Linked DNA regions of Coturnix japonica. The protein of the gene in region 1 purifies or fractionates together with the protein of each later gene. This does not show direct contact. Links are inferred from orthologs where the notes say so. Each region holds a gene or a part of one and is shown in the gene's direction. Other genes may lie near its edges.

Region 1 (4,312 bases):
TTCTGATAAGTGTGAGCAATCATCTTCCCTTCCTTTATTGCACCTTTCCATTGTACTTGACCTTCTCCCATCACACCTTTGTTGTAATGCCTTTCCCATCCTATTGATCTGCCTTCCTGCTACAGTTTATCTTGCTATAAAACTAAAGCCTGTACTGAGTTTACACCTGTAACATTGAGATACATTTATCAACATGAAGTTAAAAAATAAATAAAAATCTCTTTCATGCCATTATGGCTCAACACTATACCTGACCACGAAGGTTGGTCCCTTTCCTTTTGAAAATGAAGATTCTGCGTAGCAAGAAGTTGACGGATCCTGAGGAATCCAAATTTTAGTATTCAAAACCATTTGAGGGTCACGCTAGCCCTCAACTATTCACCACTGCTTGCCCATCCTGTAGATTTGCTATGCACTCCACAGCAGTCAGTGGCAGATGGCTGGCACAGTAGCTTGGAGCATTTGGGACTGAGGAGAGCTAAATCTCTGTTCCACAGGAGTCTTTATAAACTCTAGAAGGAGTTGATGCCACTGAATTTTTGAAGGAGAGAGCAGAGTCCAGTTTTGCCTCTTGCATCAAACTCTGATTCACCCTGCACTGATACTGACTTGCAAGACTCTCTTAATTGGGAAAATCACTGGGATAGTACTCACTGCCAGAATTCTGGGTCATAAAGTCATTCTCTGACTCAGAAGAAGGTTTACAACAGCTGTGGCAGTGATATGTGCTGTAGGTGAGTCATATTGGGCTATTAGCACGAAGAGAAGAGCCTCATAAAACAGAAACACGCATACAGAGTTGCACTGACCCATCTAAATTATCTTGCATTTGTTACTCTATATCAAAGGACTTGACCATGTTTTGTCACACACTCAGTTTTCAGGAATGCAACATTTAAAAAATGAAGTAACTGAGACACTAATCATAGGAATCCTAAGTGGCTTTTAAATCTAGAGGGCAATTTGGTCTGAAATAAGTTTTCTGGCAGGTATTAAACTTGTGGGTGCATACTGATGTGAGATGGCTCAGAACCCAATTCCAGACTCATGGGGCAAAAGCTGTGTCACTGATGTGGTGCGCACCCACTATCTACATGCTGAACACTCTGACGAACCGGACTCTTAAAGCTCCTGCCACGAACCAGTGCCAACAATACGAAGCATGTAGACATCTCTGCTCTCCAGCCAAGGGTTCAGATGTATGTGCTTAACGAGTTAGAACCTTGTAAGGGATGGCCAATCTGAGGACCAACCCTGTGAAGCAGCTGTCTCATAGAGTCACGTTATCACTGGAAAAACCAAGGGGACATATATCTTCGAGATCCTTTCCTCCTTCCTATCACATCAGGACGGGATCCCTCACTCAGGTACCAGGTGCTGGGTTTTCTGTCAGCGCGGACCAGACTGCTCGCCGTCAGCGAAGGGCGTTCATCAACGAGGAACCTCAGCCTCGGTTAGCCCGCACTGGGGGCCACCTGCCCGCTCCCCACGGCCTGCTTCCCTCCCAAAAGCGGCTGGCAGGAGCGGCCGCCCCCGCCGTAAGGCTCGTAGGGAGCCGCGGCGCACGGAGGATGCTGTCGCCCTTCCTCCGGCGGCGCGCACAGGGCGGCACAGAGCGCCCGAGGGCTCCGCGTCTGCAGTCGGGCCACGTCCGCGGGGGGCTCAGAGCACGCGGTGGGCGGCGGGGGACGGGTCCGGCGGCGGGGCCTCACTGCGGCAGCGCCGGCTTCCCCTCGGCTGCCGCTTTCATTCATGTTTTCTCCTTCGCCATCTCCCTCTCTCTCCGAGCGAGTGGAAACAAGAATGCGCGTGGGCGGCCGCCGAGCGGCGCGCTGTCAGTCAGCCGCCGCGCTGCAAAGAAGGAGAGCGAGGGAGAAGGAGGGGAGCAGCTTTCCCCGGGTAGGGGAAGCTCTGTCGGCGCTGCCTCTGCCCGCCGGCATCGCGGCTCTTCCCGGGGGCGTCCGCGGAGCCGCCCGGCTCGGAAGGAGGGGGGGGGGGGACACGAGGGGCGGCCCCTCTCCCGCTATCGGCACCTGCTCCCCCCGCCCCTGTCTGGCGGAGGGGTCTGCGCCGCCGGCGGCGCGCGCGTGTGTACGTGTGTCTGTGTGTCTGTGGCTGCCGGGGGCGCCGCTGGGAGGAGAGGAGGCGCGAGGCAAGTTGTAACGGCTTCGGCGCCCATAGAGGCTCCGGGCGGGCGCGGATGCGGTGCGGGTGCGGTGCGGTGCGCTGAGAGCTCCGCGAGGCGGGGTGGACCAGCGACCCCGCCCCGCTGCAGCGAGAGGCTCCGTCTTTGTGCATCCTCCGCACCTGAGGTGCGAGGCCGGGAGGGGCGGCGGAGCCGGGGAGGGGAGGTAAGACCGCGCCGCGCTTCTCCTTCGGCCGCTTCCCATCTCGTCCGGCTGCGCGGGCGGAGGTGCGGCAGCCCGGCCCCACGGGGAAGGATGGGACGCGGAGGTGTGGAGCTTCGCCGCAGCCGGAGGGCGAGCGGCGGCCCCACTGATGGGCGGGGGGCTGCGGGCGGGGGAGGGGCCCGCCGAGCGCCTTCATCTGGGCTCCCCCGGGAAGGAGCGGGCGGTTCGGAGAGGCTGCTCTAGAAGAGAGAGCGGCCCCGAGTTCGCTCCAGCCGGATGTCAGCGACAGCTTCGCGGCGCTCTCCTGGAGCCGATCCGCCAGCGAGCCGTGCTGCCGGATAGGGGGCTGCCGCCGGATAGGTGGCGGTGCTCAGAGCGCGAGGCCGGCGTGGTAGGTAACGGAGCGCGGGGCCGCCGGGGAGCTGCGTGCGGCGCGCCGGCTGCTGCATCGGGAGGCGGCTGCGTGTGCGCCCCGAGAGCTGGTTTGCGACTAACAGATGCTTTAGGGCTTCGATTGGTCAGCGCTTGCAGCGGGGGTTGAGTTGCGAGCTGGTGTTAATTAGAGATTGAAAAGAACTGCGACCGTGTTGTCCCGTGTTCTGACATCATAGGCGTTGTGAGTGTGCCGAAGAAGCGATTTGGGAGTTGATTTCAGTGTTTTATCAAGCACTTGAAGATGATTTTTGCTACATACATCCTATAGGGCATTCCCGGGGGAATGGCTTGAAACTGAGACACAGGGGAGGTTTAGGTTAGAGATTAGGAGGAAGTTTTTCACGCAGAGGCAGGTGATGCACTGGAACAGGTTGTCCAAGGAGGCTGTGGATGCCCCATCCCTGGAGGCATTCAAGGCCAGGCTGGATGTGGCTCTGGGCAGCCTGGTCTGGTGGTTGGTGACCCTGCACATAGCGGAGGGGGGGATTTGAAACCAGATGATCATTGTGGTCCTTTTCAACCCAGGCCATTCTACGACTCAGTGAGTCTTTGTAGATTTCTTTTCTTTTTTAACTTCTCATTCAGCGTTACAGTTATGGATTCAGGGCTGAGCTTTAAAATGTTTTTCACTATGGCATAGAGTGTTGCCAACTGGATGCCATGCTTGTAAAACTAGAACAAGAGCCTCTAAATAGCAAGACCATCAATTTCACGTGATAAATATAGAAGGCACAACAGAAATGTGAATCTGAGTGTTTATAGGATGCATCTTATAATATGAATGTATAAAGCAGGAGAGCAAATAAATGCATTCAGCTTGAAGGTACCTAAACTTCTTTGAAATGGAAGGGTTTTTTGTGGCTTTTTTTCCCCCCCACATTGTGCTGTTTGTGTTTGGGAAGAATGCTTATTTGTTTTGGTTTTGATTGTATATGAAGGAAAAAAAAAAAAAAAGAAGAAGAGAATAAAAAAAAGAAAAGAAAAAAAAAAGCCAGAAGGGGAACTGTGGATTTGGTTGTTGGGTTTTTTTGGGTGGTTGGGGTTTGTTTTGTTTTCTCAAAATTCAATTATGTAGCAGGATGTTTTCCACTATCTGGAAAGGCAGATGCTGCTGCAGCAGGGGCAATTACACTGACTTGCAGCATAGGAAGGGGTGGGGAAAAATTCCTGTGACTCCTTCTGTCTCTGTATAAAACATCAGTCAAATATGGAGCATTAAGTCCCGCAAATAGTCAGACTGTTGGAAGCAAGGATTTGGTTTTGTGGTGTCTGCTCTATTTAGGGCTTGTTAACAGAAGAGCTTAGATATGCAAGGCAGTTATGTTCAATTAAGAAAGGGAGTGAAGCCAATGCACAAATTAAGAATTTTCTCTTTGCAGAATAAAATGAGTAAATTTGTCACATTCTCTGTTAAGGAATTCTACCTTCTTGGTTTTACCTGTAAACTGTCTGCAAACCTCGCCAGAGGTGATTTTCCTAGGTCTTGTTGATTGCTGGTTGCTTAATCAAATGGCTTTGACCTGTGT
Region 2 (4,440 bases), on another chromosome or scaffold:
ATGCCATGGTAGTTGTCACCTCCTTATTTTCCATGTGCCTTAGCATAGTTTCCAGGTTCTACTCTATAATCCTAACAGGCACAGAGGAGAGACTGACTTGCCTGCACTTATTTCCTTATTTTCCCTTCCTCAGAATTCTGAGGCTGCACCTCAAGTACTGTGCTCAGTATGGGGGTCCTCACTACAAGGCAGACATTGAGGCTCTGGAATGTGTCCAGAGAAGTGCAATGAAGCTGTGAAGGGTCTGGAGCACAAGTCTGATGGAGAGCAGCTGAAGGAACTGGAGTAGCTCAGTCTGGAGAAGTCTCAGGGGAGACCTCATTGCTCTCTATAACTACCTGAAAGGAGGCTCTGGAGAGATAGGGATCAGTCTCTAAGGTAACAGCAACAGGGCAAGAGGTGATGGACTCAAGCTTTAATAGGTGAGGTTTAGGTTGGATATTAGGAACAATTTCTTCTCAGCAAGAGCACTGAGGAAGTGGCACAAGGAGGTGGTGCAGTCACCATCCCTGGAGGTGTCCAAGAGCCGTGTTGATGTGGCACTGAGGGACGTGGGCAGTGGGCATGGTGGGGGTGGGCTGAAGGTTGGGCAGGGTGATCTTACAGGTCTTTTCCATCCTTAATTATTCTGTAATTCCATCCAACCTGGCCTTGAGCGCCTCCAGAGATGGGGCACCACAGCTCCTCTGGGCAGCCTGCACCAGCACCTCACCACCCTCTTACATCTAAACTAAACCTCCCCACAGCAAATAAGCTGCATACAGCTGAAAGAGCTCAATCCCAGCATCCAAAATTAAAGCATATTGGTGGCATTACCTTACTTCTGATGGGACGCTAGCCCGGCTATCTTACTCAGACCATATTTCCTGAAGAGTGCCGCTCTAATTCCCTGGTTTTGACATAACTTAAGCGAGCACTCCTTTTTCAACCTGTAGCAACAGCATCATCTAGCGCCTGGAGCCTGCTCTGCATGCTTGCAGCACGGTTGCCCTTAGCACAACGCCGTGCGTTCAGCGGTTCAGCAGCACACAGGAGCGGAGAGAGCAGCCCAAGGCCGAGCATAGGACTGTGGCACACTAGCAGACGCCTGGCCACGTTTATCGGAGGGGGGAGAAAACGGCTGGTTGTATTGCAGGAGTGGTTTCACCCTGTTAAAGAACAGACATATCTTTGAGGCGGGAACAGCCAAAATCACAGAATCACAGAATGACCCGGGTTGGAAGGGACCTCAAGGATCATGTAGTTCCAACCCCCCTGCCTGGCAGGGCCACCAAACATACACCNCTGGCAGGGCCACCAAACATACACCTTTACTAGATCAGGTTGCCCAGGGCCCCGTCCAACCTGGCCTTGAACACCTCCAAGGACGGGGCATCCACAACCTCCCTGGGCAGCCTGTTCCAGGGCCTAACCACTCTCCTAGTGAAGAACTTCCCCCTAACATCCAACCTAAATCTTCCCTCTTTTAACTTAAATCCATTTCCCCGTGTCCTGCTATTGTCAGCAGAAAAATCTCCCTGTGGAGAACGTGTGTGAAGCAGCTGAGGGCAGAGAAAGGGCGGGAAAAGGCCTCAGGCCTGACAGCCCCACAGCGCCTCCCCCGCGTCACGGAAGAAGCCCCGCGGTACTACACGTACCTACAGCCGCGCATGCGCACTTCCTCGCCGCCGGGCCCAGGCGCAGCGGTGACCTCGAGCGGCGGTGGGAAAATGGCGGCGGCGGGGATCGCTCTGAAGGTGAAGCGGGGCCGGGGGGAGAGGGGGCACGGCGCGGTGCGGTGGGTCCTCACCTCCTTCGTGAGGGGGTTGGACAGCCGCTGTGTGTCCCGTAGGTGCGGCAGCTGAGCACGTCGGCGGCACGGCCGGCTTCCAAGCTGGTGAAGGTGAGCGGGGCCGGGGGTGGGGGGTTGGGGTCGGCCTCCCGTGTAGGGCCGCTCTCAGACACCGTCTGTCCCGTAGCCGCCCATCCAGGTGTACGGGCTGGAGGGCCGCTATGCCACCGCGCTGTATTCCGCCGCCACAAAGCAGAAGAAGCTGGAGCAGGTGGAGAGGGAGCTGAGCCGGGTGTGGGTAAGGCTGCTGGGCGAGCCTCAAAGGTCACGGAGGGGCTGGGGGCCGCCGTCTGTCTGGTGCTTTTAGGGCGATCCTGCATATTGTGTGACATGTACCGGGCCTGCCTGTGCTCTGAACTCCTTCCCTAGTGCCCCTCTGTGGCTTTCTGAGCTCCCTGAAGCTCTGCCATACTGGACACGGAGTCATTTGATATGTTTTTAAAAGTCACTAATAAAACTGTGAGGATGCAGTCCAGTTAATCAGCTCTTGTAGCCCACAGCTGTATGTTCTTAGGCTGCTTCGATCTACTGAATGTTTCCTCTCTATGAGCTCTACCTGGAGCTGCCATTTCATTTCTCATCTGCTCTCTCCTGCCCTGTATCCTTGATCAAAGAGCAGCTGTTGCCTGCGTAGCCCTGAAAAACTTGTGGCCTTTACAGTGTTGCTTGTGTGTTCTCTTAGACTCTCTTGAAGGACCCTAAGCTGTCCAGCATTGTTATGAACCCTCATACCAAGGGCACGGTTAAACAGAAAGCTGTCAAAGACGTTTTAGCAAAGGAGAGGATGTCCCCTATTACCGTCAACCTGATGAGTGAGTACACATTTACTTTGTGAAACATCTGATGCTGCTTGTGATTAGTTGTTGCTAAGTGAATCTGCTCCTAGTGGGTGTGCTAAACCCTTCTAATACATCTGCATCTTCCAGACCTGCTTGCTGAAAATGGCCGCTTGCGCTACACTCCAGGCATTGTTTCTGCCTTTGGGAAGATCATGAGCGCGTTCAGAGGAGAAGTGCTGTGCACAGTCACCACTGCACAGGTGGGTTTGGAACCTTGAGGCTGAGTTTAATAGGTATGGGCATAAAAGGCAAGCTTCTTTGGCTGTAGTATAATCAGCTTGCTTCATGAGCAATGAAGAAAAATCTCATCTCTACAAAATGCTTTAATAGTGTTTCAATATGCAGTAATTATTGGCTAGCGATTATACACATTCTTCTTGTTTCAGCCTAACGAGTAGCATCTTTTTCTATGTGTGAACCCAGGGGCTGATGAAAGTCAGCCTGGTCTGCAGATAAAACTGCCTCCGCTCTTCTTTTTGTCATTAAGAATACACTGAACAGGTTAGAACTAACAGATCAGCTCTTTTCTGTAGTGAGGCAGATGTCTGAAGTGAGATCAAAAAGCTCTGTAAGCTCAAATGCAGATAGTAACAGTACAAAGGGGGATGGCTTTAAACTAAAGAGAAGAGATTTAGATTGGATGTCAGAGAGAAATCCTTTCCCCAGAGGTTAGTGAGGCGCTGGCACAGCTGCCCATAGAAGCTGTGGTGCCCCATCCCTGGAGTTGCTCAAGGCCAGGTTGGATGGGGCCCTGGGCAGCCTGAGCTGGTGGGGGGCAGCCCTGCCCACGGCAGGGGTTGGAACTGCATGATCTTGAAGGTCCCTTAAAACCCAGATAGATGTGTCTTTTGTTGAGTGCTTAGTTTATCGAGTCAGGACTCTTGATGCTTGCTTTCTCAAGATGTTAACACCAAGCAGTTGCTGGTGATATGTGTGCAGATGACAGCGCAGTACTTCATGAAATAGAAGGAGCACAAGATGCTGCTGTTTCTGTGCTGTCATTTGCTTATTGCTATCCAAGAAGGCGCTTCCTCTGCCTTCCTGGGAGTGTCTTTGATGGAGTCTGAAGAGAAAGTAAAGGGGGTTCTCATTATACCATTTATTTTTTTTACGTGCTTTGTTTTCACTGTGTCTGTGCAAATGTTTTCAGCCCTTGGATGATGCCAGCCTTACTGAGCTAAAGAGTGTTCTGAATGGATTCTTGGCTAAAGGAGAGGTCTTGAAGCTGGAGACCAAGGTAGGAGGTTTTGATTTGTAAATACACCTTGCCAAGCTGTGCTTCTTGCGCTCTCTCATCTTTACAAAAAACAAATGAAAGAGGAACTTTGGGACACTGTTGTATACATTCATTTGGTTGAATTCAGCTGCTCTATTATATACTTCTATGTTTTCTTGTACGCTTTAATTACTGAAATCTTAACTTTGAAATGCACTGATTGCAAGATTATCTAAATAAGGCTCTTTTAAAGCTGTTCACGCTGTTAAAAAAGAAAAGTATAAGGGTAACAAGTATTTGCTAATGGAGTTTCTGTTCAATCTTTCTTCTAGACTGATCCCTCAGTCCTTGGTGGAATGATTGTCAACATTGGGGAGAAATACGTGGATATGTCAACAAGGTCAAAGATCCAGAAGCTGACCAAAATAATGAAAGAGACTGTCTAACAAGCTGTCCTGTTTGCTCACGGTGAAACCTGTCACAGGGAAACAATAAAACTGTTCTTCTCCAAGAGCTGTTGTAGAGTATTGATTCTAATATGTAGCAGTGGGAGA

What was found.
Region 2: the proteins of PTPN5 (region 1) and ATP5PO purify together in Homo sapiens (affinity purification with mass spectrometry; 3 studies listed by BioGRID and IntAct, with this or other methods). This does not show direct contact. The link is inferred for Coturnix japonica from reciprocal best matches to the Homo sapiens genes PTPN5 and ATP5PO.

Annotation. Positions count from the first base shown.
Region 1 is NC_029520.1:16,628,795-16,633,106, forward strand, and holds the start of PTPN5 (tyrosine-protein phosphatase non-receptor type 5), read left to right. Parts: upstream 1-1,255; 5' UTR 1,256-1,367; intron 1,368-1,779; exon of another isoform or gene 1,780-1,899; intron 1,900-2,067; exon of another isoform or gene 2,068-2,091; intron 2,092-2,142; exon of another isoform or gene 2,143-2,351; intron 2,352-2,568; exon of another isoform or gene 2,569-2,742; intron 2,743-4,312. UniProt on the Homo sapiens protein: May regulate the activity of several effector molecules involved in synaptic plasticity and neuronal cell survival, including MAPKs, Src family kinases and NMDA receptors.
Region 2 is NC_029516.1:94,971,819-94,976,258, reverse strand, and holds ATP5PO (ATP synthase subunit O, mitochondrial), read left to right. Parts: upstream 1-1,610; 5' UTR 1,611-1,649; coding exon 1,650-1,736; intron 1,737-1,831; coding exon 1,832-1,882; intron 1,883-1,958; coding exon 1,959-2,069; intron 2,070-2,513; coding exon 2,514-2,643; intron 2,644-2,757; coding exon 2,758-2,870; intron 2,871-3,820; coding exon 3,821-3,907; intron 3,908-4,218; coding exon 4,219-4,332; 3' UTR 4,333-4,399; downstream 4,400-4,440. UniProt on the Homo sapiens protein: Subunit OSCP, of the mitochondrial membrane ATP synthase complex (F(1)F(0) ATP synthase or Complex V) that produces ATP from ADP in the presence of a proton gradient across the membrane which is generated by electron transport complexes of the respiratory chain.